Linked DNA regions of Callithrix jacchus. The protein of the gene in region 3 purifies or fractionates together with the protein of the main gene of each other region. This does not show direct contact. Links are inferred from orthologs where the notes say so. Each region holds a gene or a part of one and is shown on either strand. Other genes may lie near its edges.

The links.
Region 1: the proteins of FGF11 (region 3) and UBE2O purify together in Homo sapiens (affinity purification with mass spectrometry; 3 studies listed by BioGRID and IntAct, with this or other methods). This does not show direct contact. The link is inferred for Callithrix jacchus from reciprocal best matches to the Homo sapiens genes FGF11 and UBE2O.
Region 2: the proteins of FGF11 (region 3) and AHCYL1 purify together in Homo sapiens (affinity purification with mass spectrometry; 3 studies listed by BioGRID and IntAct, with this or other methods). This does not show direct contact. The link is inferred for Callithrix jacchus from reciprocal best matches to the Homo sapiens genes FGF11 and AHCYL1.

The regions. Positions count from the first base shown.
Region 1 is NC_133506.1:132,286,781-132,296,410, forward strand, and holds part of UBE2O ((E3-independent) E2 ubiquitin-conjugating enzyme), read right to left. Parts: intron 9,411-9,630; coding exon 9,347-9,410; intron 8,435-9,346; coding exon 8,291-8,434; intron 7,846-8,290; coding exon 7,736-7,845; intron 7,592-7,735; coding exon 7,441-7,591; intron 7,256-7,440; coding exon 6,783-7,255; intron 6,340-6,782; coding exon 6,185-6,339; intron 5,934-6,184; coding exon 5,821-5,933; intron 5,734-5,820; coding exon 5,605-5,733; intron 5,244-5,604; coding exon 5,151-5,243; intron 4,160-5,150; coding exon 3,463-4,159; intron 3,191-3,462; coding exon 3,054-3,190; intron 359-3,053; coding exon 155-358; intron 59-154; coding exon 1-58. UniProt on the Homo sapiens protein: E2/E3 hybrid ubiquitin-protein ligase that displays both E2 and E3 ligase activities and mediates monoubiquitination of target proteins. Negatively regulates TRAF6-mediated NF-kappa-B activation independently of its E2 activity.
Region 2 is NC_133508.1:147,828,819-147,839,203, reverse strand, and holds the start of AHCYL1 (S-adenosylhomocysteine hydrolase-like protein 1), read right to left. Parts: upstream 6,161-10,385; 5' UTR 5,872-6,160; coding exon 5,752-5,871; exon of another isoform or gene 5,368-5,751; intron 1-5,367. UniProt on the Homo sapiens protein: Multifaceted cellular regulator which coordinates several essential cellular functions including regulation of epithelial HCO3(-) and fluid secretion, mRNA processing and DNA replication.
Region 3 is NC_133506.1:73,908,466-73,918,877, reverse strand, and holds the start of FGF11 (fibroblast growth factor 11), read right to left. Parts: upstream 2,924-10,412; 5' UTR 2,832-2,923; coding exon 2,633-2,831; intron 1,978-2,632; coding exon 1,867-1,977; intron 1,673-1,866; coding exon 1,569-1,672; intron 838-1,568; coding exon 639-837; intron 358-638; coding exon 287-357; 3' UTR 1-286. Other genes in the region: TMEM102 (transmembrane protein 102), read right to left, coding at 5,905-7,217, 7,320-7,533.

The DNA.
Region 1 (9,630 bases), about 58 Mb from region 3:
CTTGGATGGAGATGAGCACCTGGAGAAGGCTGGACTTGCTCGTCCACCTCTCTGTCCCCTGAAACACACAGGACACCATCAATTCTGTTCCCCCAGCCCCTATCCCCCACTGGCTCTTCCTCTTTCTTGGCTGGGGGCCTGGCACTACACTCACCTTTCCAATCCAGGTGCCCAGGAGGCTGACGCACACCTTCCCATTGTCATACAGGTTGGGGTTCAGGCGGCCACTGCACTGGGAGAGGTAGCAGAAGTGGGGGGGCACAGCTGGGTAGATGTTGGGGAGCTGAATGTCAAACAAGTAGAGGCCATCCTCGTAGGGGGTTCGAGTGGGGCCCTTGATGAGGGCTGAGAAGAGGTCCTATGTAGGGAGGGAGGGAGGCTGAGGTTGGCAGGTTGGAAGGGGGGGTGTCCTGCATGTGGTATCTGCATCTGCACTTTCCCAGGACACTGTGTGAATGAAGCGGGAAGGGCAGCTGGGACTCCAGATGCCACCAGCAGTGGAAAAGCTAGGCACAAATACCTCTGTGCCAAATTGCCTCGAATCTTTCTTTTTTCTTTTTTTTTTTGGAGACAGGGTCTTGTTCTGTCGCCCAGGCTGGAGTGCACTAGTGCAATAATGGCTCACTGCAGCCTCCCAAGTAGCTGGCACTACAGTGTGTGCCACCATGCCTGGCTGATTTATTTTTTGTAGAGACAGGGTCTCACTATGTTGCCTAGGTTGGTCTAAAACTCCTGGGCTCAAGTGAGCCCAGGCTCAATCCGCCTGGCTCAGTCTCCCAAAGTGCTGGGTTTATAGGCATGAGCCACTGTGCCCAGCCCTTACCTGGAATCTTTGAAGCCTGGCTAAGAGAAATATTCTAAATGAATTTTTATCATATCAGGTGGTTTTCCTCATAAATCATTACTTTAAAATTGTATTCCTCAGTCAGATGTGGTAGCTTATACCTATAATCCCAGCACTTTTGTGAGGCCAAAGTGGGAGGACTGCTTGAGGCCAGGAGTTCAAGACCAGCCTGGGCAATATAGTGAGACCCTATCTCTACAAAAAATACAAAATTAGTTTGGCATGGTGGTGCACACTTGTAATCCTAGCTACTCAAAGTGGAAGGATCACTTGAGTCCAGGAAGTTGAGGCTGCAGTGAGCTATGATCACACCACTGCACTCCAGCCTGGGCGACAGAATGAAACCTTGTCTTTTAAAGACAAAACAAAAAAAGACTCCTCTAAACACTTGCCCCAACCCTTATCTCCCACAAGGCAAGTAGTACAAACAGTTCCAAGCTGAAAGGCAGTTCCAGGATGGTGGGGCCTGGGGAATTAGGGATGATCTCTCCACCAGAAGCTGGCAGTGAGGGTTTGATCCAGGGGAGATGTTGGGAGACCACCGTTCCACAGACATCTGGAATCTGCGCATCTATTTGTGTGCATGTGCGTACACGTGTGTGTGTGTGATCTCAACTGCCAGGGCAATGGGCGAGGTCGGTGATGAGCTGAGAAGCAACAAGGGCAGAGCGCCAGCTGGGGTGAGGGAACCTCTCATGCATGCTCTTATTGGTGCCACCCTGGGAGCCTCCAGAGAACACACTACTTTTCTTCTCCTGAGTGAGATTTTGGGAAAACAGAACAAACCAAAAAAATACTGTTCCTGTTTTCCCTCAGCAGAGCTGAGAAAAGCTAGAATTTTCAAAAGGAATTTTACTATAACCCAAGCAAAAAACAAAAGTGTTATTAAGAATCTCAAGCAGCACTGGACTTAGGACTCTGCCTAGCCCTGTTCCAGGAGGGGCTGCTCCGGGCCCATCTCAACAGCGCCCCTCTTGGCAGCTCTCAGGATCCCTACTCCTTTTCTTTGCCCTCTTCCTTCCAGGACAGGGCCAGAACTGGGGCCTCAGACTCAGATTCAGAGTCTAGCATGATGCCTGGCTTGAAGCACAGGCCCAGTAGGGATTGCTGAGTAAACAAGGTGGCAGGCAAATAGGCTTGCCTGTTCCCAGAGGAGGCACTCATGCTGCCTCAGTAAAGATGACTCAGAGACACTAGGCCCCGTCCACAAACAGAAGAGTGGGAAAATGGAATGTGGTGTGGCCACATGTTGTTGTCCTATTTTGTAGGTAAAAAGGAAGAAACTAGATCATTACAAATCAATATGGGTAGGTCTTGAGCAAATTAGAGATGATATATATACAATGACATACTCTGGGCTGGGCGCAGTGGCTCACACCTGTAATCCCAGAACTTTGGGAGGCCGAGGCAGGCAGATCACAAGGTCAAGAGACTGAGATAATCCTGGCCAACATGGTGAAACCCCGTCTCTACCAAAAATACAAAAATTAGCTGAGCATGGTGGCACGGGCCTGTAGTCCCAGCCACTTGGGAGGCTGAGGCAGGAGAATCACTTGAACCCGGGAGGCAAAGGCTGTAGTGAGTTGAGATCAGGCCACTGCACTCCAGCGTGGCGACAGAGTGAGACTCCATCTCCAACAACAACAACAACAAAAGGCAAATACTCGGTGTAAACAAATCATACAAAACACTCTGTACTCATGGTGATACATGAACATGTCGAAATACTTTTTCAATGTATAAAAAATGTAAAAATACATAAAAAAGGTAATCCGTGGTCATCCATTTGGAAGGAGACCCACTAAACTTCCAGCAGTCCTCTGGGTGTGGGAAGAGGCCTATGATTCAGGAAAAAAGGGAAGTCAGAGCCGGTCAAAGGCAACTTTAGCTCTTCTATTTCCACTCAAAGGATCTGTAATGTTCTAATTTTTCCAAAAAGAAGAGCAGGCTTGAGGAGTACTCATAATATAATTAATTTCAAACTCATTTTTTAAAGAAGGGAGAAAAGAAAACCATCTGGCCTGGACACATGGCTCTCCGCCAGCCCTCACCTGGCTGTGCCTGTGACCGCCCCTGTAAAAGGTGGGTGGGTGGGTGTCCTCACAGGTGCCAGTCAGCCCTGGAGCTTTGAGGACCCAAGGCTGGTGGCCTCTTGGGCACTGGGCACCCACACAGCACATCTGCACCTGCCCATGCCAAGCCTACTTGCCATTCTATCTTCAAAAGTCTTGACCATGATGCCCTCAGGCAGTGAGGTAGCTAGCAGTGCCATCTCCTTCCGAACTGTGCTGAAGAACTTCTTAGCTTCTGGAGGCTGGAACTCAATTTTCTTAAAAGAATGATTTGCTAGAAGAGGAAAGAGAGCAGTCAGTCACTCATGGAGAGGCCCTGGAGCTCTCCATCTGCAAACCTGGCTGGATAGGTGAGCGCACCCACAGACTTCCCACTCGCCTTCGCTGGCCTCAGCACTGTAACCATACAGGGAAACTGTTTGCCCTGGGCCAGAAGTTGGGGGCCAGTGAGGACTAACCACCTAACCACCGCACCCAGATCTGGTGACACAAACAGGAGCCCCGAGAAGGCAGGGGAAGGTGAAGACTGGGCAAAGGCTGACTCACAGGGTGCAAACTCCAGCACGGAGAAGACCTCGCCCTTGGCGCTGGTGAAGGTGACGCCAGGCTTGCCACCACACTGCTGACAGAGCACCGGGGTCTCACTGGGCCACTCGGCCTTCACAGGTGACTGCCCCTCGGGCTTGTCCTCCTTGCGCTCTACGTCGGGCACTGCCTCCATTTTCTCCTCCTCTGCAATGGCCACATTGTCCAGGGTTTTCTTGAGGTTTTCCTGTAGCTTCTTTATGTCATCCAGAAACTTCTTCTCCCGAGTTGGCTTCTCAGGCTCCACAGTGGGAGAGGTGGGCGAGCCCGTCAGCAGCTGCTCCACGGTCATGTTCTTGAGGCTCTCCAGGATCTTGATGGCCTCTTTCAACTCCCGGAAGCTCTTGGGAGGCCCGTCCTTGCCAGCCTTCTCCATCAGCCCAGCCATGGGGGTAGCCATGGCCACAGCCCCCTGGACAGCGGCTGTGGCTGCCTCTTCACTGATCACTACTCCCTTGTCCTCCTCAGGGGCCACAGGCTGCTCCGTGGGTGGGATGGGGGGCTCCTCTATCTTGGGGTGCTCATCCTCTACCAGCCCATTGTCCGTCTCCCAGCTGTCACTGTCATCTTCCCACTCATCCGAGGATGCCCCACTGGTGCTGCCTTCTACCGAATCATAGTCTGACTCCTCAATCTCAGATTCGATGTTGTACAAGTGCTGGGGGCAGAAGGGAAGTGCCAGGGTAATGCAGACAGGAAGTTACCTCCCTACCACAAAGGAAGAGCTCTGGGGATCCCTGATCTGCACAGCTGATGGGGACTGGGCTCATGAGGCCTTGGCAACCTCATTCCACTCTTTCCCCACCCTGTGCTCTGGACTTTGCAGTCCCTAGGTCTCTGGGAGAGGCCCTCCACCTGTCCCACCCCCAAGCTGGACCCAAAGCCCCAGCCAGTGGTCTGTTTCAGCCTCCCCTCCCACTCTGTACACTTGGTCAGCATCTGCCCAAGAAGGCAGGCAACCTTGGCAGGCCCAGCCCCACACCTGAAAAGCTCAGGGTCAGCTAACGATGCAGGCAGGGAGGCCCATGTGGGGCTGCACTGGGAGCTGGGAACATACGTTAGGAGAGTATGTGCGGAAGGGCCAGCACATCCTGCTGCCTTCCCTGGAATGACCATTAAGGTGATGGGGCAAGCCATTCCTGCCCCTGCTCTGCCCCATCCCCACCCCCTATGCAGGAGCCAGGAGAGGAGAGTTGGGCCATGCAGCTCCAGCCAGGGAGGCGAGGGAAGGAGAGCCCGTGTGGCCCTTCAGCTCAGGACCCAGCAGCTGGGGCTAGAATGGGGCCAGCTCTCTCCTTTCTCTCCTTTGCTGTTAGAGCTTTCTAGAAAGGGTGATAGGAAAGTCTCCATCTCCTTTTAGGAAGGAACTTACATTCTTCTTAGCATAGTGATAATCCAGGAAAATCCTGGAGGTTTGTGAAAATCTACATGCACCCAGTGATGGATGGGAGAAGTGAGGCTGGTGGGCCACCTGTGGGCTGACCCCAACCCCGCAACCAGGGCTGTGTGGAATGACTGCCTTTCTCCTCAGGTTTTCACTGAGATCTCACCAGGAAGACCCGAGAGCCCACCTTTAGGCTACCTGACTGTGGCCCCAGCCCCAGCTGCCATAGTCACAAGCCCAGCAGGGGGACTTGCCAGAGCCTCACCTGGGGCAGGATGATGGTCTTTGAGTTGTCAGCCCACACCACCTCCACCTTGCTGCTGACATCCACACGGGCCACCTGGCCTACTGATGGCTGCTGGGCAAAGGGGACAGAGTCAGGGAGCCCAGCTCCAGCCCCAGCTCCCCAGCCCTCCTGTGCTCTGCAGTGACTGACATCATGCCCACCCAGCTTGTGACAAGGAACTTAGCTCCTCTGGTAAACGTAACCAGCAGCGGCTCAAGAAGCCTGACACCGGCAGAGAGTCAGGGAAACAAGTCCTTCTGCAGCTGCTAGGGCTGAGCAGCAGCTTGACTTTGGGGCAGCTGCTCTCCTAGTAACAACTAGCCAGAGGACTTTCAGGTCTTGTCTCCTAGAGCCACCTGGTGGCAGCATCAGGGACTGCAGCTGCTGCATAGGGCAGGGAGCAGCGATCTAGAACTTGAATTTGAAGGTCTACCTCATCCTCCTTGTGAGGAGCCCCGTCCTCAGTATTGCCGATGCGGATAACGATGTCAGTTGTACGGAACCTAAAGTCAGGGTGGTCAGCAATGTCGTAAACACTCACATCTTCCTCTTCTCCAATTAGCTGTGGCATAGGACAGGCCATCATGAGCTAGGGGCCTACACCCAACCCCAGAGCCCAGCTGAAGAAAGCAGTAGGGGCTGCACACACCTCCACGTCGTCCCCACTTGGCCGCAGCTTGAACCACTTCACCATGCAGGTACGACCGATGTGGTCGCCAGACTGTACCACACCATAGACAGCAGGGTCTGGACAGCTCTGGACTAGGGAACCAGAGGAAGGGACGCAACTAGCTAAGGGACCCAGGCTAAGGAGCCCACATCTCAAGCCAGTGCAGGGTGCAGAACCCTGACCTTCCCCCGTCTTGGAAATGGAGAGCCCAATTCATGAGGGCAGTCCCCTTCCCGACCTCATTTTAGCTCTGACCCCAGATCCCTTTCTGTTCTCCCCAAGCCCCAACCTGGGCCCTCGTCGGTGACCACCCCGCTGGCTGCCCTTCCAGAGCTGGCACTACCTCGCTTATCTACCACGAAGTCTCCGGGGCAGAACTCGTTGTTGTCCAGGTGGTGCACAGGGAAGAGGTCATTGGAGCGGATGTTGCATTCCACAGAGCCATCCTGCCACATCACGTCAGCTGAGGTCATCGTGGTCACCACCTCCACTGCCACCCTGCCAGGTGCAGGCCAGTCAGCGACATGCAAAAACACCCCCCTCCCTCACCGCCACCCCAGGGAAAGGGCAGAGAATCGTTCTGTCCCTTCCCATCCCTGCAGGCTCGGTAACATGAAACTCTGAGTCCCAGGCCTGCAGGATGATTCTCTGGTGCACAGGAAGCTAATCCAGGCTTCCAAGGCCATGCATTCTGAGAAAGGGACCCACTTGGGAGAGCTCAGGCAAATGTGGCCCCAGAAGGCCAAGCTTAAGGCCACCACCACCATTCCACCCTCTGTACCATTCCTAAGTCTCTGCTTTCCACCAGGGCCTACCCCAGGCACTAGAGCCACTACAAGGTGTGCAGTGTGTGTGCAAGCATAGGCATGCAGCTGAGGGGGCATGCACTCTGCCTGACTTCATGCTGATGCCATGGGGGAGGGGCACAACTCTCAGTTTACCTGTCCCCTGGCTTGAAGTCTCGGGTGATTTTATTCTTCTTCCTCTTGTGTTTGCGCTTCAAATTTTTGATGGACAAAGGGATGCTCTTTTTGCGACTCGTGCCGCTGCCACTCTGGGAGGAAGTGGTGGAGCTGGCGGAGGAGGTCACTGAGCTGGTGTCATCCGTGTCATCGGCAGCCTCGTCATCTGCATCCTGCTCTGCCGAGTGCAGCCTGTCGTCTCTGCCTTCTTTTAGCAGGAACGGGGGCAGCTGATCTCCTGCCTCCTGGGGCTCCTCTACGCCCTCATCCTGCATCTCCACTGGGCTGGCAGAGCCATCAGGTGTCTCCTCAGGGCTGGCAGAGTCCGCTTCACCCTTGGCTTTGGCTTCCCCCTTCTTGTCTGGGTCTTCCATGGAATGGTCCCTGGAACACTGGGTGTCCGGGGAGCATGACATGATCCGCACAACCTGCTTCTTCAATAGACGCTTCACCTGCAAGGGCGAAGCAGAGATGACAGAGCTGTGAGGATGATAGCTGCATACACCTGAGTAGCCGGCAAGGGTCATCAGGGCTGCTGCCCACCAAGGCCTAAAGCACAGACTGTCCTTTTTGGCCATGGAAATGGCTCAAGGCCAGTTCCTCAAATGCCCACCAACCCCCAACCCCAAGGACATACCTTCTTGGCCATAGAGCCCTCCCCCTGGGCGCAGTTTTTTTCTGGACATTCCCAGGCAATCTTGGCTGGCTCTACCTTGGCTGGGAAGACATACAGACAGCGCTCCCCAAGCTGCCGCTGAGCATGGTCAAAGCATCCGAGACGCTTCACCCTGGTTGAGGGAGAAGTGGGGGTGAGCCAGGCTGAACTCTTGGGAGGCCAGCAGTGTTCTCCAGCCTCCCCAGGTATCTGTGGCCAGGGCCCAGAGCCCTGTCCCATGGGTGCCCCTGGGTTGCTGGCAGCAGGGCATGCTCACCTGCCTAGGTTTTCCTGGGTGATGACAGAGGGTGGGGGGCTGACGCTATCCGTGCCCCCTGGACAGAAACTCTTGGTAATCCATGTAACTTTCAGCTCTACAACCTGCACCTGGGGATGGCAGGTGGGACACGCCAGTCAGGGCAGGCTCTGACAGCACTCTTTAGCCAGCTGCCCAGGGCCCACTTGACCTCCAGAGGAGGAAACTGATCTTCCTAGTGCAGCACCAAGTACAGACAAATCAGAGTAGGCCCTGACTGTAACCACGGCCCCAATGCAACACCCAGGACCAGTATCACTGCTCATACCAGCCAGGGACCACTGGTAGCCACCCACCACCCTCCCACCTTGCTCAGGCTGGGCTGGGGACATCTGTCTTTTGGTCACTATGACCAGAGCTTGGGTTCCCCTTTTCCTTAAAGCCCTTTGAGATCAACAGGGTCCAGAAGCTGAAGAGCAGGGCTCAATCCTCAGAGCAGGCAGGAAAGGGGCAGCAGCTCAGCTCCAGGGCGTGGAGGTCAAGGACTCTGTCTCCTGCCCCTAGGCCCAGACCCACCTCTTCCACCACCACTCGGAACTTGCTCTTGGTACTGAGCACGGGCTTGACACCTGACAGCCATTGGACGCTGGAGAAGATCTTGGCGGGGCCAATGAGCACCTGGCCTGGGTAGAAGCCGTAGGAATCATCAAAGAAGAGACCCTGTGGGATTTGGGGCCAGAGGAAAGTCCCTGTGAGCAGTGCCTCCTTGGGTGACCGCGCTCTCCACACCTGTGCCTGCTGGCTGCCCACCTGCAGAAGCTCACTCACAGGCATTACATGCCTTAAAACAAGTCGTGTGGCTCAAGAACAGCACTTCCCAAACTCTGGGTGCGTAGAGGTCACCTGGCACCCTTGTTCAAATGTAGGCTGACTCATTCCGTGCTCCTTGGTCAAGGGCTCACACTCTGAGGAATAAGGCTCCAGAGAGCAGTGGACCTGAAACCTGTTTGCTCACACACCCCCTGTATATCTACTTGTTTGCTATTTGTGTCCATGTACTATTATAACTAATACATCATCCTGTATTGAGAGAGCAACAGTGAGACTTCAAAGGATGAGAGGAAAAGGCTAACAGAAATGCAAATAAAAGTTCTAATACTGCCAGGCACAGTGGCTCACACCTGTAATTGCAGCACTTTGGAAGGCCGAGGTGAGTGGATTACCTGAGGTCAGAAGTTCGAGACCGTCCTGGCCAACATGGTGAAACCTCATCTCCACTAAAAATACAAAAATTAGCTAGGCATGATGGCACATGTCTGTAATCCCAGCTACTGGGAGAATGAGGCCAAAGAATCGCTTGAACCCAGGAGGCAGATGTTGCAGTGAGCCAAGATCGTGCCACTGCACTCTAGCCTGGGCGACAGAGTAAGACTCTGTCTCAGAAAAAAAAAAAAAAAAGTTCTAATACTTTCTGCCTATACCCAAACTTTTAGAGCCTCTGGTGCACACCCAATCCTCTTCCAGGAAACCACTCTGTTTAGCCAGGGCCAGCTACAAGCTCTTTGCTAAGAAGTCCTCTTCCCAGAGGACTGAGCAATCAGAGAAGGGCGTGGCCTGAACAGAGCACACTACCGAATCGCTGACGTGCGGGCAGACGTCGTAGAGCTTGGCGCCATCTTCCGTGTTCATGGAGCACCTAAAACAGAGAACAGAGGCTTGGTCTCCACCAGGGGACACAGTGAGTACCAAATAGCTGCGATCCTAAGATGCCAATACACCAAGTACCCGAAACAGCAAAATTCATCTTCCACCATCAGCTCAGCCCGACGTAGTATAAAAAACTCTCCCACAATGCACAATGAACAAGATCCCAAGTGCCACTGGAGTGCTCAGCACCATCACAGTGCCTCAAGTAA
Region 2 (10,385 bases), on a different chromosome or scaffold from region 3:
AGTGGTATGCAGCAAAAGCCACACATTTCTATAGGAGAAAATCAGTTACGTATAATTAGGAGCAGGCTGTTAAGAGCAATGAGAAGACAGTACCTGGAGTATGTATCTAAAATGATGAAGTCACAGTTCAGAAGTCTTTGGAATTATTTCATGTAATTCAAGAATTCTACTTTGGGAAAACCCCCAAACACCTGCAGTTTAAGGAAATAAACTTCTGGACTGAGAGTGGCCCAGTGTCGGACAAATACCCGCATTCTATGAGTGCATTATATATTATGGGAAATGAATGGGGGAATGGTAAGGTAGAGCACACCTCACCTCCATCAAAAGCTCTAAGATCTCTGTCTATACACCCAGCCCCTGTAATCAACAAATGTTTTAGAGTTCAGTAGCTATGAACTCTATATAAAATAACCTTTTTGTTAGAAAAAAAAATTCTCCTGTTGAAAAAACATTCCAATAGAAATTTCTTTGTTTTGGCTCTTTCAAAATTAGGCTCCCATTTGCACTATCGTGTTGCACCATCCAGAAAGTTAATGAATAGGGTGACCACATAGCAGGGGACTTTTCAGAGTTAAGGAGGCACTCATTGGACAGTATGCTAGGAAAACAGGTATAAACAAGAACTGCACCAGGCAAACTACAATATATGGTCACTCTAGTTACAAAAACTAATTAATATTTACTAAATGCTAATCCTCTCAACCAACTATATAGGTGGCACGATCACTGTTCTCCATTTTATAGACGAGAAACTGGACACTCTGGCAGGCTAAGTCACTTGTCCAAGGTCACACAACTATTAGATGGTAGAGATTAAAGGTAAAACTGACTCCAAAAATCAAGTACTTAACTTATATTGCACTACTACTCAGTTTTAGGAACAGAAACGGGAAGTTAAAGGGGTCTTATGTAACAGCCAAGCAACAGTGGGAAAAGAACTACTTAAGTGAAAAAAAACATGGAATCAGAAGAGGACAGGCAACTGCAATTCTGGGTGAATTTTTAACTGCTGACTACACAACAGGCACCGATAGTATTGACAATAACCAAAGGAAAATTTGTGGTAAGAATTTGTCTTCAACTTGGGATTCTCAGATTACAGGCTGGAAAAAACTCTGGGTGTGCTTATATGTTGTCCTTCACACATGACAGGAATGCTCCTGATGTACCTCATTAGCATGTGTTCTGAATTACTATGAATTATATGTCCAGTATAGTCAGGATGGACATTCCTTACAAAAATGCAGTACTCACATTCCCAAACTTGAGAAACAGGTAGGTATAAATGATTCTCCTTTACTCGCCAATTCCTTTAAAACAACCCCAAGAGGGCATTAAAGTACTTATTTACAGATCGTTAACTACTTGGAGTGGCAGAGTAAACTTGCTAAGAGTCACAGGCAACTGAAGACCTGCATGATTCTATGTTACAAAATATCCTTTATAGACAACTTTCCAGGAATACTATATCCAGGGTGGGCGGGAGGTAGGAAGATTGCTTGAGCCCAGGAGTTCGAGACCAGCCTGGGCAACACAGGGATTTCCCCATCTCTATAAAGAATAAAAATACATTTTAAAAAAAGAATCTTATATTGGGTAAAACACTCTGGATCCAAATGGCACACTCTTGATAAAAGAAAAAGTATACATTTGTAACCTTGCCAGCAAAAGATCTAGACAACCACTGATCTAGAAATCTAACAGATTTCTTTCTGTTACAAGCTAAATGTTTAAAGGAATTTGGAACAAAGTAATTTGGAAACCAGAATGTAACTAACTAAACCATGTAAGAAAAAGAGAGGTAATCAATATCTGTGGAGAAATCTTAAAAAGAGGATCTGCTTACACCCTGACTTCTGTTTCAAAGACTGCTATGAAAGCAGCAGCCACTCTAACAGAATCAAGAGATACTAATGATGTGAAGAAGACAGGAAATGCCAACTTATCAAATCTCCTTTCAGTGATTCTGACAAGTCCTGGTATAAATTCATAAAACTGTACCAAAAATTAACCATAAGATAACTGATGAGAAAAGGAGAATCCTGGATTCTACCTATCGGGTTAACACCCAAGCTGTACCCACTGGGGCTCTACTTGCTGTGCTTCCTAAGTCTCAGCTGACCCTTTTGATGAATCAGTACTACAGAGGTTCATTCGAATAAAGAATATCCTGTAAACGAAAGCAGTTTCTTTTGTGCTGTTCTCTTTCCCCAATTTTGCTGGCGGTAAAGGTCTGACTACACAGATCCTAGGTCAAATGTTTAATGGATCACTCTGGAGAGTGCCCTTAATGTTCAGAAGTCCAGAGAACAGCAAATGTTCTGATAGGCCTTGCAGAGAAACATGCTTACTGTAAGAGGTCTCAACAAGTTGGAGATTTGGGTTTACACTGTGAAAAAAGAATCAACTTGACACAATGTCAACTTCCAAAGGTCCAAGGACAGTTATCACTCCTGTTACACAAAAGAGCAGAAAAAGAGAATAACCAGTGGTTATGGGGAACTAGATGACTTACTTGGTTTGACTGATAACGGCCAACATTAAACAGGGATCTTCTTCAGTTGTGGTACAATGTACAATTAGTCTACAACTCAAGGATTCCTTCTCTTACCTCGAGCTATACCATCTTTCCTAGCTAGACCATCTGAAATCACCAGTGACAATCGTGAATTAGCCTTACAATGTGAATCATACTATAGCTATTAATATAATCCTGTGAAAATTTCTTTTAGAACTCTGTGTCAGGAAAAGTTGTCCTCTTGAGGAACTGACATGCATTCTTTCCCATGCCTGTTAAGGAAACTCTGCGATTCCTCTTATCCTCTAGCTGCTAAGAGTTTAAAGTTGCATGTGGTGATCAACCTCATCAACTAACTTAGCTCTGAGGTTAACAATTTTTTTCATTCTTTCTATGGTTTTTACTTCCTTTTATATAAAATAAGTATCCTGTGTTATAAGCCACTTCAAATGTCCACTGAAGAATATAAATATGCGAACAGACTTTTAAAAAATTACGCTTGCTATCTTAACTCCCCAGCATGCCTCTATCTCCGCCTGTTCCAGAAAAGTAGGCACTTATTTGGCAGATGAGGAGATGAATGTACAAAAGCTAATTAATTTGCTCAACTATAAAGTCAACCCTTTAGTTGACTTCTGGACGCCCACACATCTCAAATCTTCAGTCAAACCAACAAGCCCCATTTTGTTCAGGAGCAGTGTGATAGACGCCATGGCACCCGCAACTGAGTAAGTCATGTGTATTGCTGGAGGATCTAGATACTTATGCTTTTAATTGATGGACATCCACTCCTACCTCAAACAAAACAAACAACAGGAATAAAACCTGGCCAGAAAGCGACACTGGGATCTGATCTAATTGAGGACCAACAAGGTCACCCTGAAGTAACCCATATCCTCTGGCATCAAGAACATCCTCTATTCCTCAGGGGCCTCAGAGGTTCAGAACGATCCAAGGATTACTGGTCTAGAGCCAGGGTAGAATTCCCACAGGTGAAGGACTGCACCGCTTGAAGAGGTCTTGTTGTCACAGCATTAATACCACATCAAGTTACTTTTTTCCCCTCTTACTTTACCCATGCTTTCTCACGTTATCAACACATGGCAGAAGTACAAAAGTGACAAGTCATAATGTTCAATTCAGCAGAAGTTTTGAAAAACAGATGGCCTAGGACTTGCTACATGACCTTGACTAGTCTTCAACTGATCCATTAACTAAATAAATGCCTTTTATCATCACTAGGGGAAGGGTAATTAGTCATCATAAAGAACTTTATTACAAAGTCCTACGTAAATGCTAAACAATAAAACTCAGAAGAGAAAGATTAATAAGAAACACAGTGGGACACATTTACCGGCAAATGGAATCTTAAAACAGGGTCTTCCCACATTCCTGGCAGGGCCTGCTTCTTTTAGCTAATGGAATATAAGTCTAAAATCATTAGCACTTGGCCTGACAATAGCGCACATTAGCAATATTCCTCCTGGGAAGAAGAGAGGAAAAGGGATAGTTATTCCTGGTAGATAGCCATATGGACATCTCAGTTACTAGTTAGCCAGGTGGGCAATTAATATTTGAGTACCTACTATATGCTGGGTACAGAGCTAGGCACACTGGATACAAAGGTGAACAAGAATCTCCGCCTTAATGAGTTTAACAATCTACAATATAGACTTTGTCTTATCAACAGTGGTACTTTCAAGAATACAGATTTACTAACATAAAGGCAAATAAGAGCAAAGATGCCAGAGTCTGGAAAATTCGGGAACTGGGGCTTTCCCATTCTTTCCTCTAACTCCTCTGAGGTCCTACCCTCAATCATTTTGCTTATAAGGACCGTGACTGTTTCTCCAAAGAATAGTGTAGACTGCAAAAGTTCACTCTACCAACTGAACTGACAGCACTAAAGTTAGTCAGATTTCTCAGAGTCGAGGGATCTTCCACAATCTTTTAAAGGAATTAATAAATTCTTAATTTTGTGAGAAAAAAGAGCTAAAGCATACAATGGCGACTTGTCTTTTTAAATCTTGCATTTGATTTCTGGAGTTGCAGGTTAATTCCCTTAAAAAAAAAAAAAAAGCCATCTCTCCTGCTTAAGACGGCTTAACTAGTTGAAGCCTCAAGGACTTAACTATTCCTGCAACCCTTGCTTTGTTCAGCCCTGCATCCCATTAAACGCTGCAGGCAGAGGCGGCTTTAAGACTCCGTCTTTATACAGAAGGGAGACATTTATCTGGGTTCTCATTGGCTTCAGGAAGGTCACCTCTTTATAAAGGTTCTCTTCTACTGCTAACTGGGTGCCAGGTGTATGGAAAATCAAGACATGGTTGGCAGTAAATGATCAGAAAGCAGTAAGGATCCCAATTCCACCACTCAGAGCTAGTTAGACTACAATCTCCAAAGGTTGCCATTTATGAGAGAGTTTGAAGGGTGTCCTTTGAGCTCAACCCACTGCACAATAGATCAAACTTGTTCTGCCTCAAAAGTACAGTCAAGAATGAGCAATCGTTCCTTACCACCCACCACTCCAACCCACCCAAGTTCCCTTCTCCAGGGATGCCTAAGTGATCTATTCACATGACTAGGATCCACCTGTATCCATGACAGTGTCTCCTGTCACCAACCTCCAAATGTCAATTTCTTACATATTTCGAAGTAACGGGAGGCTGTAGAAAGTGAAAATCATAGATTTTCACTTTCCTTTTACCCTCGTTGCTTTCACCTGTATATTAGAGCTAGCTTCACGCATTCTTTTCTCTTGGCTCCCAGCTATCACGCAGTTGTTGGATAAACCGGCCACTGCTCCCAAAGATTTGACGGAAATTCTGCCCGATTTACCCACTCACCTGAAGTGAGATTTTCTGAGCACCCCATGTCCCTGGGCTGGTCACAAGGGTCAGCTGAGTTGGTTCACCCCCTCCCACTCTTGACTTCGAGGCCCTTCATCCAGGAAAAGTCAGCCACAAATTTAAGGCCTGGCCCTGTCGGGTTTCAAAACGATCCCAGAGGACTTGGGCCGAGGGACAAAGGAAAGCGAGGTCAGGGGCGGCCTTTTCAGCCCGGGATATGCCTGGGGCCGCACGGCCGCCACCCCCTACATCACCTCCGCCGCCTCCAGTCACCCCAACCCCAGCCTCAGAGGTCCCGAACTAGCCAGAGCCTGGGGTTTGCTCGCGTCCCTTCCGCGAGGCCGGAGCCGGAGCCCCCGCCGCCACCCAGAGCCCCCGCACCTTCTTGGGCGCCTTGGTGACGGTGGCCATGAAGGAGTACTTCTCGGCGTCCTCGATCTCCTTGGCCTGCTTCAGCTCCTCCCCGACCCCGGGCAGCGGCATCGCGTCAGGCATCGACATCCCCCGGCCGGCCCGGCCCGCGGCTGACCCGCCGCCCCCGCCTCTTTCCCCCTCCGGCGTCCGCCCGCCTGCCCGCGCGGCACCCTCCAACACGCGATCGCCCACCCTCCCGCCGGGCCCTGCGTCGAGCTGCGTCGGCTTCTGAGGTGCTGTGGTCCGCGCCTCGTCTGCTTGGCCGCCCAAGGCAGCCGGACAGCGATCGCGGCCACCAGAGAACCAGAAGCAGCAGCTCCGAGCTCCGACCTGCCCGCGCCGCCACCTCCGCTGCACGCAAACACGCACGCAAAGCGAGGGTAGAGGGCGGTGACGCCACGTCAAGTACTGGCAGCTCCCGGGAGAGGGAAGAGGCGGGGAGACACGGCACTCTGTCGTGACGTCACCACGCTGGGCTGGAGCACAGAAGCCGCTCCTTCTCGCCCGCTTGAGAGCGAAGTTCTCAGGGTGAGCGGGACCCTTTGTGCCACCAGGTGGCGCCATCAGCCCTGGGAGCAGCGCGTCGTTCATGCAAGGATGTTGCAGAACGGAGGGGTCTTTGGGCTGCGGGGCTCCTGGCGAAGCCTCAGAGGGGCATAAAATGGGTGTTTGAGAGCAAAGACCAGAGCCCCACACGACACATCCTACAGCCATTCCTAGGAAAAGTCTGGGGCTTGAGGCATTCCACTCACTCATTGATCCAGCCCCAGGTCCTTTGGATTAAAACTCCTTCCCAAGAGGCCTGCCTCTTGGACTTTATAGGGGGCAAAACTGACTCAGAATAGTCTGGTTCCTGCACAACGCTTTGTGACTTTCTCCAACACCATCTCCTCCTGGGCCTTGCCTGTTTACAAAACCCTCAGGCTGCAGAGCTGATTTTAAGCCGTCATTGGGATAGGGCTGATGGATATGAGGGTGGAGCCCAGGAGGGCTGATGGAGAAGTCCCCAGCCAGAATGGCTTTCCGGTCCTTGCTCCACCAAAACATTAGACTCTTCCAGCTCTCCGTGGGCATCCAGGACATTCATGGACCGTTCACACCCTTTTACTGGGCCCACTATGTGCAGTCCCTGTGCTAAGGCCCAGATGGCAAAAGGGCATGTGACACATTTTATGTTTTGCAAGGCTTAGTTCAGCTGGAGAGGCAAAGCCTGCCTGTAACCTAATGTCAGCTGAGGTAGCTTGTCCTCTGAGATTCAAATGGCATTGGCTCCAATTACCATGTCCTGTGGAAAGTCCAGTGCCCTCCCCGGGATTTCTGTGAATTACTGGGAGGACTTACATTTTCACGGTCACCTCTGGCTCTAGTTTTTTGCCTCGTCTGGCATTTTATTCACTATTCTGGTCTTGTGACTGTTTCTGTAGCTCCTGGGGTCAATTCAGCCCCTTCTCCTTTCAACCCCCACCCCGTTTTAAAGCAACTACAAAAATAAGGTTGTAACATGTAGTAAAACGTTTAATAAAGGTTTGTGGGTCGCAGGGGAGAGATTACATCACATAGCAAATGATTTAAGATCACATTTCTGAAATGTTCTGAAAAGTTATTTTGCCTGTCTCACCACTGGGGATTTCTCAATGGCCACAAGACCCCATCACACTCCCTAGCCCATTGCCATCTAATCTAGCTTCCTCCTGTTCCTTCCTTCCCATCCCTGCACCTTGCCCTTCCTTCCTTTATGGACTCTGGGAAACCAGATTCTCCTTTGCTGTGCTGAGCAACTCCGGTCTTCCCAGTGCCCTTTCCCTAAATTTCTCCCGAGGACCACCTTTTAACACCCAAAAACCTCCCAGGTTTTTAACAGGGTCCACCCTTTCAAGAAGGAAGTTGCGGTTTGAAATGACATTTTCCCCACTGATTTGTGTTCAGGGCTGGGGAAAGTGTGAAATACTCACCTCTAGGGCCTTAAAAGTCTTAGTCAGGGTAGCCCGTGTTCCAGCCACCTAGCCTCATGAGACTGTTTGAAGAGGTCTGTAGAAGCACCTGGAAGAATACACCCTTTGCAGATCCTGGTCTTGAACTGTTAGAATTCTTTCGTCTGCTTACTTTTTTGAGCACTCAGACTTCCCTGTCAGGGGCATCACTGTAGCAGAAGGGGAAGGGAGACGGAGACCAGAATACCAGGCTCATCCATGATAGTGCCAGACTGGCATCTTTCAGCTGGGGGTCAAAAGCCACACCTGGTGCACTAAGGACTCTCTGGACATAAGGCTCATAGGGGCTTTCATCCTGGTGGGTTTGCCCAAACTGTTGTCAGAGCCCAGGGATCAGGGATGCCTGCTCAAAAACCCGAGGCAGAGCCCGTTGGAAACAGGAATGAAATCTTGAGTCCTTAGAACGGAAAAACATATGACTTAAGATAATCTTTTTTTTAAGAGAAGCATCAGTATGTCTGTCTTTTGGATTTGATTTTTTAGAACTCGCTTTGTCTACACATTTTGTCTCTCAGTCCCCAGTTCCTCTGTGCATTAAGCATCTAGACTGTAAGCTTCCTGGAGATTGAAGTTCAGTCTTTCCTTTACTCCTCCTGGACCAGGTTTGCCCTAGCACCAGGCTCACAGTGTTGCCTGCTGTTGCTGCTGCAGCTGAGGATGACAGACAGGGCCAGGCCCAGAGCATGCAGCACCTTAGCAGTCTAGGCCAAGAAGGAGACCAGCAGGTCTCCTGAGCAGCTCCCCTGAGCAGCTGGCCTGAGGGGAGGTTGATGAGCTGACGTAGGACAGCCAGGCAGCTTAGACTGGAGAGGGGAAGGGCAGCGCTCCTACCCTAAGCATTAGGCCGATGTGGTTCAAGTGAGGTCAGTGGCCCCAGATATTCTTGGAAACCAGCCACTGCAAGGGACATGGGTGGCTGACATCCCTCCCACCAAGTGTGTGTTGGAGATCAAAGAGCTCACCCAGCCAGGGAGTGTGACAATGTAATATTCCTGAGAATCATTGCTCTCTGTCCCCCATCCCCAAAGCCAGTCCTAAGATAGCTTCACACAGTGCAGCTAAGGCGATTGCTTCTCATGAATACCAAGAGATGACTAGTCTTCAGCCCACCCACCCAACCTGACTCAGCAACTCTCCCGGCAAGCTCACTGCCCTGAACAGCGCAGTCCACACACGGGTGAGAGACCCCTCTACAGGCCAGTTGGAGAACAGCAGGGACCAAAGACAGATGCACCTGCTGTGTGCGGTGGTGGGAAGTCTCCAAGGGCCTGGAGACCAGAGAGGACCCACTAAAAAGGAGTGGTCTAAGGGCAGCGGTGAATCAGGAAATACTGTTACCAGAAATGTAGTGGCATTGGGCTACCACACGTGGTCTTGGTCTGGTTAGTCAGATTCATTCTTTGTCCACCCCCAAATTTATGTTCCACATTCAGTCATTTGTTCTTTTATTTACAAAATAAATATATTGAGTGCTGAAAATGCCAGGAGCAGGGCTAGGTGTCAGTCGGGACTACAGAGACAAAGAAGCTGAGGTGCTGATCTGTATGTGGGGACAGGTGATGGGGGTGGGGTGCAGTGGAGGGCTGCACTGAGGGAGATGCTGCTGGAGCTGAGTCTTAACAGATAAGCAGCTGGGCAAGGGAGGGAAGATTCTCCAGGCTGAAGAAACAGTCTGGGAATAGACAGGGTGATGGAAACAGCTTGGCATATTATGGCAACTGTAAATATTGCAGTGTGGGTGGGGCACAGGGTGCAAAGCATGGTGGAGTGAGCTCTCACGCCACAGCCAGATCCTCAGGGCCTGGTAAGCCCTAGGTGGGTGGTGGCGATGTCTGCCATGCTTGGGAACACAGGAGGAGAAGCAGATATGGCTGGAGGCGTGGCAGGGGGCGCTGCCGAGAGAGAATGAGTCAGCTTGGGACATGCTGAGTTTGATGTGTCTGTGGAGGGCACTGTCCCTGAGTCTCAGGGGAGCCCCAGGTTGGCACGTTTTGGAACTGCCGGCTCCCTGCCAGTCAGCCTCCCCACTAGGGGGAGGCTGTGCTCCTCCTGAAGGCCTTTCATCTGCTGTCAGCCAAGGTGCTCATTAGCCCTCTGGAATGAAAGTGCAGAAAAACTGCAGAGATCTTGGGTAACGATGGAAGTCCAGAACAGGTGAAGAGGGTGGTGAGCAAACCCTCCCCAGCTCCAGTCTTCTTTCTGTCCCAGAATTGCTACCTTGCACAGCTCTAGGAGGCACCATGACATTGTCATTGTTGTGAAAGATGCCCTGGAGGACCACTTCAGGCTGGTCACCTATCTGACTGGCCCTGAGGGACCCCCAGAGGAGGCTGGGCTCCCTGTTGCAAGTCTGTGGCTGTGGGTGAGGGTCTTCAGGCTTCCTGGCTCCTGCTGCCCACCGAGCTCCCTCCCTCCCTCTTTGCAGCCTCTTCTCCTTCCCCTTCTCCAGTTCCAGCAGGAAACATTCCTCCTTCTCTGTCTCCCACGCTGCTTATTATTATCATATTTATTATGATCATTTACTCTTTAATATCATTTCGAACATTACAGAAAAGAAAAACCCGTGAAGATTAAAAAAATACCTTTTCATCTTGTTAAGTTCACTCCTGG
Region 3 (10,412 bases):
AAAAGACCTGGGGGTTGTATGAGTGTGGAAAGAAAGAAGTGATCAGCCAGGACCATCTTCAGACATCCCTCTCTCTGACTCCCTCCTAGGCCCAACAATCTAAGGGTCTCAGCAGCCCCGGAAGTCACAACTTGCCCCTAGGCTCCCTCAGGATGGAGCAGCTGGTGAGACCTGGCTGCTCAGGGCATGTGTGTGGCAGCAGGGGTGAGAGCAGGACTGGGAGACAGGCTATGGTGGTGGCTGGCTCACTGGGAGTGCAGGGAACCTCCAGTCCAGGGACTACATTTCAGGGGGCAGGGGGACTGGAAGGGGAGGTCTCAGGGACACTGTGGAGAGAAGGCTCCCGGTACATGGCCACTGTGAAGGGGAGAAAGAGAGGAGCAGTGAAGGAGAGTTAGGCACAGAGGGACCCAGGCAGAACCAGTGCTCTGAAAGGGTTCCCTTCCCATACACTCACCCTCCCAGAACCCCAACCCACAGGAGAGTGCCCCAAACCCCCAAAGGGCAAAGCCTTCCTGGCTTGATCTGCCATAACAGGGTCCTCTTATCACTTGTAGCCTGAGCTGTCTGCCCCTAAATGTCCATGTCAAGGTCAACACCCTCTCTTGTGGCCTACATTTTCTTAAATCTATACCCACCCTCCAGGAGCTTGGGCAGAAAGTGGGCAGCTGCCTTGGTCTTCTTAACTCGGTTTCCCTTCATGACCCGGCCCTCCTTGTCCAGGCCGAGGTACCAGGCCCGGCCAGAACGACGCTGGCGGTAGAGAGCAGAGGCGTACAAGATGTAGTAATTCTCAAAGACGCACTCCTTAAAGCGACACTCAGCTGTGAAATGTGGCTAAGGAGACAAAGACCCAGAAAGGCAAATAAAGACAAAGAGACAAAAAGACACATCACTGGGCAGAAGGGAGCCCGTGGAATGCACAAGCCAGGATGTAATCCATATGTTTTTTGCGGGAGCAGGAGGACAACTTCTGAGTCCACGCAGGACCTGGGAGCAAAGGAAGGACAAGAAAGAGGCCTGGTGGGCCCTTGAGGGTTAAGAACTAGGCTCTGAGCTGGGAACCATGGCTCAAGCCTGTAATCCCAGCACTTTGGGAGGCTGAGGTGGGTGGATCACCTGAGGTCAGGAGTTTGAGACCAGCCTGGCCAACATAGCAAGACCCTGTCACTATTAAAAAAAAAAAAAAGAAAGAAAACTAGACTTTTAGGGGTCTTGGAATAAGATTCCTTCTCTCCACTGTACCCCCAGCCTCTCACTAACCCCTGTCCTGGATGACTCTAGGGAAGTGAGTCATAACAAAGTCTGGAGGAGGTGGGATGAGAAGTAGGGGCCCTACAAGGCAGAAAGAGTTGGACATTCAAAGAACCTGGGGCTGTGTTGGGGGGGTGCAAGGCGTGGGGATTGGAGAGACCCTAGAGAAGCTGCTCTGGAATGAGCAGTGATGATAGGCCATCAGTAAAAGCTGGAGGCAGGAGTCCCAGACTGCAAAATGTCCTTCCCTCAAGGGACAAGTTGAGGAAGGGGAGTCCCCAGTATTCCCCAGCCACTCAGCCTCATTGTCTCACCGAACTGTAGAGCAGTCCCTCAGCGTTCATGGCCATGTAGTGACCCAGCTTGGCACTCTGGATGGTGACCACACGGAGCCCCACAGGGATCAGGTTGAAGTGGGCTGGGGGTTAGAGAGAGGGAGCATCAATACCCAGGCTCTGACCCTCACCTGAGCTCCCCTCATCACAGTTCCACTTTTTCCCTTAGGGGTCGGGAAGACAGACCAGTGGCAACAGAAGCTGAAAGGGGAACAGGAGTGTCATCTGCTGTCCCCATTCTCCCCCTTCCCACCCAGCGGCCGGCTTCCCCTCTCACTGAAGGAGCTGGTATCCTCTGGGGTGCCCTGGATGCTCCCGTCGGGATTTGCCTGGAGGTAGAAACCCTGGCGGCAGAACAGTTTGGTGACGATGCCTTTGAGCTGAGGCTCTGGAGAGAGAGACATTCATCTTTGAAAATGACATCTCTGTTCCCAGCAACATACCTATACTTGGCAGGATCAGAGGGAAGAAAGGAGAATGAAAGGAAGGAAGAGGGTCCCAGGGCCCCAGCCCTCTTACCCTCCAAGCACGCTCTCTCTCACCTCTCTTTAACTCCTGGGAAAGCTGGTGTGGGTCCCTTCTGTTTCATATAACCAGGAGCTTTCAGTTTAATTTATCGAAATGTATTTAAATGGCTTAATTCCTACCCTACAGCTCAACCAGAAGCGGGGAGGAGAGGAGGAGGAGGAAGGGGAGAGAGATATCAATAGGTAGGGGACAGAGGGAAACCACAGGGGCACTGAAGGGGCAGTGTGTTTTCGAAGGTGGGGGACAGTGGCAGCAGCAAGTTGACCACAGGGTAGGGGCTCTCCCTCAGGAGTGGGGGTGGGACTGGGCCTGACGCTGACTCAGCATCTGCTGCGGCTGCCGCTAGCTTGGCGAGAGCCTTGCCTTGGCCCAGAGCCGGACTGTCTGACACTGACCCATCTGTCTCTGTCTGTCTGTCTGTCTGTCAGTCTGCTAGCTCGCGGGCGCCCAGTTCTCCCTGAGGCTCAGCCTCTCGCTTTTGGCCAGGCAACCCGCCTGGGGTAGGGGGACCTTACCAAGGATATGGGGGGTGGGGGCTGAGACGGAGAGACAGGCTGAATCACGTGGGGGCCCGGTCCCACTCAGAGGGTGGGCTGCGGACTGTACCACTATGGGCAGCCGGTGGCGAGGGGAGGAGGGCGTGAGGGAGCTGCCCTTAGGGGAGTTGGGAGCAGGCGGGAGCAGGGCCAGAGGGACTCCCTGACTGTCGTACATGGACGGGACCACACTGAAACTCTCACAACTCTCCTACCCCATCAATTGCTCTCTGCCGACTTCCCTGTCCCCCCCCTTGTAGGTGGTACGACCCCCAGGACTCGGCGCCCACCTCTAGCGGTGAACTGTGTCTGAGTTCCACCCAGCGTAGGGTCCCCTGAGCCTACGGGACCCGATTTCGGAGTGGCGCGGGGGTGATGGGAGGGGGTGCCCAGCTCCGTTCTTGAAGCGCAGGTCACGGGAGGCGGACGCATAGAGGGCTGGCTGGCGAGGTAGCTGCAAGGACACCCGAGGGAGAGCTGGGGAGATTGGCTCGTAGCCAAGAGAGCTCGACCAGGAAGAACCGAGCCCAGGCGTGGAGGAGCGGGAGAACCGGGGTGGGCGGGGGTGGCGGGGGGGGGGGGAGCTGAAACTGCAGAAACCCTTGGGGTGACCCAGGCGTCTGGAACCCCCCAGGCCCCTCTGCTCCAGATTGAAAGAATCGCGAGAACCGGCACGTAGGCGGAGGACGGTGGGGGTGGGGACTGCTGTGTTGGGGAGGGGGGACGAGCAGGAACTGCGAGGCTTTCGCCAGACTTAGCCCCTCAAGCCTTCTCCTTGACCTCGAAAATAAGGTGACTCCGGGTTATGGACAAAAGGGGAAACTGAGGCACAATCTGGCAGGGACTTTGTTGTCCTGGCCCACCCCCTTCCACTTTCGGGGAGCCCCTCAGCCGGGCCCTATTCTTCAAAGTCCCTGGCCTCAACATCCCAGGCAGTGAAACATCTGACCGGGAGACCCCGCCCCAGCCGCACTCACCCGGGCCGCCGTCCGGCCGCGCGGGCCGCCCCCCGCACAGTCGCACCTTGGACAGCAGGATGAGGAGCTGCTTCTGGCAAAGGGATTTGGTGCCGCGGGGACACACGCGCCGCTGCGCCGACACCGGCCGGTTGCCCCCGGGCTCGCGGACCTCCCGCTTCTGCCGGATCAAGCTACTGGCCAGCGCCGCCATGGCGCCCCGGGAGGAGACACCCCCAAACTGGCGGGCACCCGGAGCGCGCTGGACTCCCCCAGAGGAGCCCGCTCACTAGGGCATGCTCTTGACGCTCAGGCCCCTACTTGCTGCCCCACCCACAGGGCCTGAGGAGAAGCCCCAGACTACCCCCAGGTTCCCCCCTCCACAGCAGCCAGCTTCCACCCGTGGGCCCGGTGCTAGCTCCACCAGATCCAGCAGCCTAAGCAGTCCTCAGTTGATCCCACCCTCGAGTTTTGCCTTGTATTGAAAACGTCCCCTTTCCCTCCTCTCCAGTGTTTGTCCCCACTTCACCTGTCCCAAAGCCAACCAAGCCCCCCCAAATTTCCAAGACGTGGTTTAAATATCTCCAGACACCTTTCCACTGTATTTTGGGGGCACACTCCTACCAAATCCACTCTTGTAATCTACAGGGTGTGGGACTTTAGCTTTGGGGGTACTGATCACCTCACCCCTACTGGGGCACTGCCAGTGTCAGGAAGGAAACCAACCTTGGTGTTTTTTCCCTTGCTACACTCTAAGCGGAGGGGATCCCCCACTTTTTTCACTGAAATCCCCCCAAAATATCTCAGAATATCCAGGTTGCCCAGGTTCAGTAAGACGGGGCTCCCAGACCCTCTGGCTGGATAATACCTTTTTCACCAAGTCCCCCCATGTCTAGTAGCCTGGAATTCTAGCGGCGAAGACCCTTTCTTCACCTTCAAACCCTCCACTCCTTTTGAAGTCACCTCCAAATCCACCCTTCCTAGTGGATACACCAGGTAGTTTGAGGTGTCTTCTGCCACCTCAAAATGAGGCACATCCGTGTTATGTTTTTCTATGCCCTGGCTGCCCCTTAAATTTTATTGGGGACAGCTGGTGCAGTTTAGATCCCACACCCTCCAATCTAACCAGCCCTCCCAAGAGAGGAGTGCACCCACGTTGTCACCAGTTCCCAAATGTGAACAGGCCCCCTACAAGTCAGAGCGGATCAGAGCTTCCTGCGACAGGGCTTCCTCGTCCTCCCCGGGATTGCCTATAGCACCCCCTCTTCCTTTCCCCGACGCCCCTCAACCTGTCCTGTCCTGTTGATCCGGCGGCGGGTGGCGCTGGCTTCGGCTCCAGGCTCCTCCCTCCCTGTCCCCCGCAAACAGAGCTTCCCCCCACGCCCGGCTAGGCGTCCCGGACCCTCAAGGAGTGAGGGTGTCTCTGCAGAGCTCCCCGATCCGGCGAAGTCAGGGCACTGGGCCGGTGGCTGGACCAGGCAGAGCGGCGGCAGCGGCTGTGAGAAGCTGAGGCGGCGGCGGCGACAGCAGTTCCCCCTCCTCGGAGAGCCGGCCCGGGGGCGGGGCAGGGGGCGGAGACGCTGGGAAATAGGAGGGTGAAGCCGGGCTGGAGGAACCCCAGGGTTCCTTGGAGGCAGAGAGTGGGGACTGTGTCTTACAAGCAGGCAAAGCCGAGGCAAGGCCGCACACCTCAGGCTTCAGAGGAGGAGGGACAAGAGGACTTCCAGAACACAACCCTGGATGGGAAAGAGAGGTTGGGCTTAAGGGAGATGGAATGGCGGACGCTGGGAGAATGGAGAGGGACCCTACTGGCCAGGATGTCAGTGAGGACAGAACCGCACGAGGAAAGTCGGGGAAGAACTGGAGAGATGGAGGAGGGGTAGTGGTGAGATCCAGCCTCGGGCGAAATCCTGCCTCCTTAGTATCTCTGCCTTTGTATGAGCCAAATTGATCTCCTGGTCCCCATAACTCCTTTCCCCATTTGGTCAGCAAATATGTTTCTCCCATTTCTATTGGTCCGTAAGAGAAATGACCAAAAGAACTGGGGAGAGAGAGTTTCTGGAAGCTGCCCCTGGACAGAGTGCTGGCCGCAGAAGTGGAGAGTAGCGAGGCTGGATCGTGGCGACCCGTGCCGGGGGCCGAGCTGGGGGCGTAGAGGAGGAACCGTTGAGGAGGCCTTCTAGAAGGGACACTTCAGGCCCAGGGCACTCAGTCAGCCCCCCAGGCAAGAAGGCAACAGTGCCCCCCAGGTCCCGCTCGCCCACGGAGTCACTTCCACTAGTAGGAGCAGCGTCTTTAATGGGCCCCGCCCCCCACGCCCGCCAAACCGCCCCCCTTGCGGGCCACCTTGGCCTCCTCCACCGCTGCGCGGAGGGCCCTGGCAGGGTCCCCGCGGAGCCGGGCCAACGCCCGGAGCAGCGCAGCGGAGCCGTCACCCGTACGGAGCTCTCGGCCGCTCAGAAAATAGTGAGGCAACGTTCCAGCCTCGAGCACTCGGCCAAGCTCGTCCAGCAGCCCGAGGCAGCAGGCGCCTGCGTTTTCCGGCCGCGCCAGGTAGAGCGCAGGCAGCCGCTCGCACGCCCAGTACAGCAGCGTCCGCAGGAGGTAGGGCGCCGCCGCCCGCGTCCCGGCCACCAGCGGGCGCAGTAGCGCCTGGGCCGCCGCGTGCGCCTGCAGCAGCGGCGCTGGTATGCGCGCTTTGAGCGCCAGCTCCTGGCGGGCGAAACAGAGCTGCCAGGCGGAGGCGCATGGCCGCTCGGTGCCGCCACCCGGCACCAGGTAGAAGGAAGCCGACTCGGAGGCCAGTGGGCCAGCCCAAGAGTGGCTCCGAGCACCCTCGGGCCAGCCGGCCACGGACACCACTGGGATCAGGTCGAAGAGCAGGAGGTGGCGAGGGGGCTCAGGGGTAGCCAGGAGGATGGTGGTGAAACCCGCGTGGCGAGCTGCATGCACCAGACGTGGAGCACCGGGGACCGGAATCAGAGACTCGGCGACTGCCGCCAGCGTAGCAAAGAACCAGGCAGCCACCTGGGCGGGGCATAATGTGGGCCATGCATCCCGAGCGTCCGACGGCTTTGGGACTGGGCTTTCGACGGCTGCCTTGGTGACGTCACTACTCGGTGTTTTCAAAGGTGCTGTGGAGCCAAAGTCGATGACGTCATGCTGTGGAGACTCGGACGCTGAAACGTCACTAGGTGATTTTTCCAAAGACACTGGCGCCACGTGCTCAGTGACGTGGCTGTGCCGCTGGTCTACAGAGCTTTGCGAGTCCTTGGGACTTTCTTTGCTCTCGGTTGGGTGGATAAAATCACATCCTCCTGGGACTGGGGGTCCTAAGCAATCCTGCCACATCTCCCGGATTGGGGTTCCGCATACCAGTTCTGGGAGGCGGACCTGTGTGTAACCAGATTCCAGGTCCAGTTGCAGTTCAGTGCCGTCCAGCGAAAACAGGGGCACTAGGAGTGTGAAGCCGGCATCGTAGTGAGGTCCCCGGGCGTAGGGACCCAGGGGTGCATGCCCCAGATCCAGGGAGCCCTCGCGAATCCCACCACGAAGCAGCAAGAGCTCTGCCTGGGGAGGAAGGCGAGGGTCCCGACGGTGAACTAGACCTGAAAAAAGTGAAGGGAACATGAAGGCGTCGACCAAAGCCAGGGCTGGGTGGTTGTGAGGTTGGGAGCTGTGAGCTCCCAAAGGCAAGTAGGGTGACTTACCAAGAAAAGAGAAGACAAAGTCCTTGGCCCGGAGGAGGTCGGCTCCCGGCTTGGGCCCGTCACTCCAGCTCTCCTGCACACCCAGCTCCTGGATCAGCTGGGTCAATTCCTGCAGCTGCGCCCCGGAGCAGAAGTCGATGTCTGTGAGCGGCCGAGCTGGGGCCGGGGGCGGCGGGCCCCACCAGGGGGCACTTCCCCAGACCACGGAAGCCATTTGGTTCTATCGCTTTAGGCCAGGGCAAACACGGAAGGCAGGTAGCCGAGACGGGCCTTTCCTTTGGTGCAAAAAGTCGCCTCCGTTCTTTCCTCCTTTTGAGGCCGAGCGAGGGCCCCAGACACAGTCTACAAATGGGTCTGTGGATGATGGGTTCTAAATTTAATTCTCAAAATGAACAAATAAATACCTGCTCTATCCTGGCCCTTTCCTCATATGCAGGTCCCCGCCCCCATGAACTGGTTCACCGGACTCAGCAGGTAAAAAGTAACTGTTGGCGCCTCCTACGGAATGCAGTAGCCAGCCTCCGCCACTGCCTCTTGTCTACCTCCCTTTACCTCTTTTTTTGAAGAGGCTTATTTGTCTGCAGCTTCTCCCTTATGGGAAAAAGCAGTAAGGGTGGGGAGGAGAAATAGATTCAACAGGTTACTTCTTCCTCATGCCCACGTGGCCACGCCCCTACATTTTTCGGCCACGCCCCTTTCTGGAGGCTGTCGGGGTGGTTTCGGCCAGGTCGGGTCGCCAGCCGGGTTCAGCCACTCCTTTCGTTCTGCTGCGGTCTCGCGTTATCCTGGGAGTTGTAGTTTCCCGCGCTACTTGGGCGGAGGAGCCACGCCCCCACATCGTTTCCCGTTCCGCCGAAGTAGTGCCTGATGGAAGTTGTAGTTCCCCTGGAGATTGACTATTCGTATCTCTTTTCATGCCCATGTCAACTCCACTCAAACATTCCTTGAGGTTTGAGACGGGTAATAGGATGGATCTGAGCCACAAACATTAATGAGGGACGGGCCGGGCGCGATGGCTCACGCCTGTAATCCCAGCACTTTGGGAGATCGAGGCCGGTCGATCACCTGAGGTCAGGAGTTCAAGACCAGCCTGGCCAACGCGGCGAAGCCCTGTATCTACAAAAATACAAATATTAGACGGGCGAAATGGCGGCGCTTATAATCCCAGCTCCTCAGGAGGCTGAGGCAGGAGGATCACTTGAACCCAGGAGGCGGAGGTTGTGGTGACCTGAGATCATGCCATTGCAATTCAGCCTGGGCGAAAAGAATGAAACTCGGTCTAAAAAAAAAAAAAGAAAAAATGTGCTGGGCGCAGTGGCTCACTCCTGTAATCCCAGCACTTTGTGAGGCCGAGGTGGGCGGATCACTAGGTCAGGAGTTGGAGATCAGCCTGGCCAATATAGTGAAACCCTGTCTCTACCAATAATAAAAAAATTAGCTTCACGTGGTGGTGTGCACCTGTAGTCCCAGCTACTTGGGAGGTTGAGACAGAAGAATCGCTTGAACCCAGGAAGCAAAGGTTGCAGTAAGCTGAGATCATGTCACTGCATTCCAGCCTGGGTGACAGAGCGAGACTCCGTTTCAAAAAAAGAAGTAAAGAGGGACACACCCTAGGACCTGGAGAGAGATAGGGGCCCCTGCATCTCTGTGTGATACGGGAACCCTGCTCACTTATACCTATGAGAATTCTTCCATGCAATTATAACTTCCTCATTTTGGGGATGAGCAGAGTACTGCCTAGAAAAGTTGTATATGACGTGTCCAAGGTCAGAGCTGAGCCAGGGAGGTGCTGAAAAAGGGTTCCCTGGCCGGGTAGGGGGGCAGCATCTTGGAATCCCAAAGGTGGTAGTGTTAGGCAGGAGCACACAAATGGTGACTCAGAAATGGACGTTGGACTCATAGAAGAGACATACATGTTAGTGATGCCCACCTCAGGTCACTGCTACCTGAGTCATGGCAGGGAAAACACTTTGGGATCTCAGAGTGTACACAGAAGAGTTATCAGGGCTGAAAATCAAGTCCAGAAGAAACTCCCATCCAGGCTGGGACAAGGCAATGGAAAATTATCAAGAGCAGGAAATTGCTTTAAGTAACTCATGCTATCAGGGAGCAGAACACACCTGTAAACCACCATGGGACCAGGAGCCAGGACAACTGGATAGAAAGACAGGAAACCAAGGGCAGGCCCACAGATCAGACTAATGCATCACTGGGCCAGAATTTTTTTTTTTTTTTGAGACTGAATTTTGCTCTTGTTGCCTAGGCTGGAGTGCAATGGCGAGATCTCAGCTCACTGCAATCTCCATCTCCGGATTCAAGCGATTCTCTTGCCTCAGCTTCCCAAGTAGCTTGGATTACAGCTGCCCACTACCACACCCAGCTAATTTTTGTATTTTTAGTAGAGACTGGGTTTCACCATGTTGGTCAGGCTGGTCTTGAACTCCGACCTCAGATGATCTGCCTGCCTTGGCCTCCCAAAGTGCTGGGATTACAGGCATGCGCCACCACACCTAGCCTGGGCCAGGACTTCTTACCTTCCTTCTGCCCTTGGTCTGTCTCCAGGATGGCATAGGCCTAAGTCCATGGATAAGAGACTTAAGGAGGGACACCTAGGAAAATTAGAGGCCTGTAAAAGGAAGAGACTCCCCAACTCTAGAGATCAATTTGGGAAGTCCAGACATCAGAGGTTCCTAGTCACTGACAGAGAGCTTTTCTCCCTCAGCAACCAGAGCTGCGATCCCTGGGAGAACTGAGAGCACCAAAACAGCCCAGAACTGGGGAGGTAGGTTCCCATACACACACATCTGGCTGTGACCCAAGAGGCCAGATCAAAGGAACTGGAGACTGGGCTCTTTCTCACAGTCTGGAGTAACCAGGCATTGGGCATCCCTGCATCTCATCTCCTTCCCAGAGGGTGGCTTCCGAGGCACTCTAAAAAGAACTAAGTTCTCTGTACTCTGTGGGAGCTTTGAAGATGTTAAGAATGGGTGACAAGGGCTGGGAGAGGTGGCTCATGCCTATAATCCCAACACTTTGGGAGGCCAAGGCGGGTGGATCATCTAAGGTCAAGAGTTTGAGACCAGCCTGGCCAAC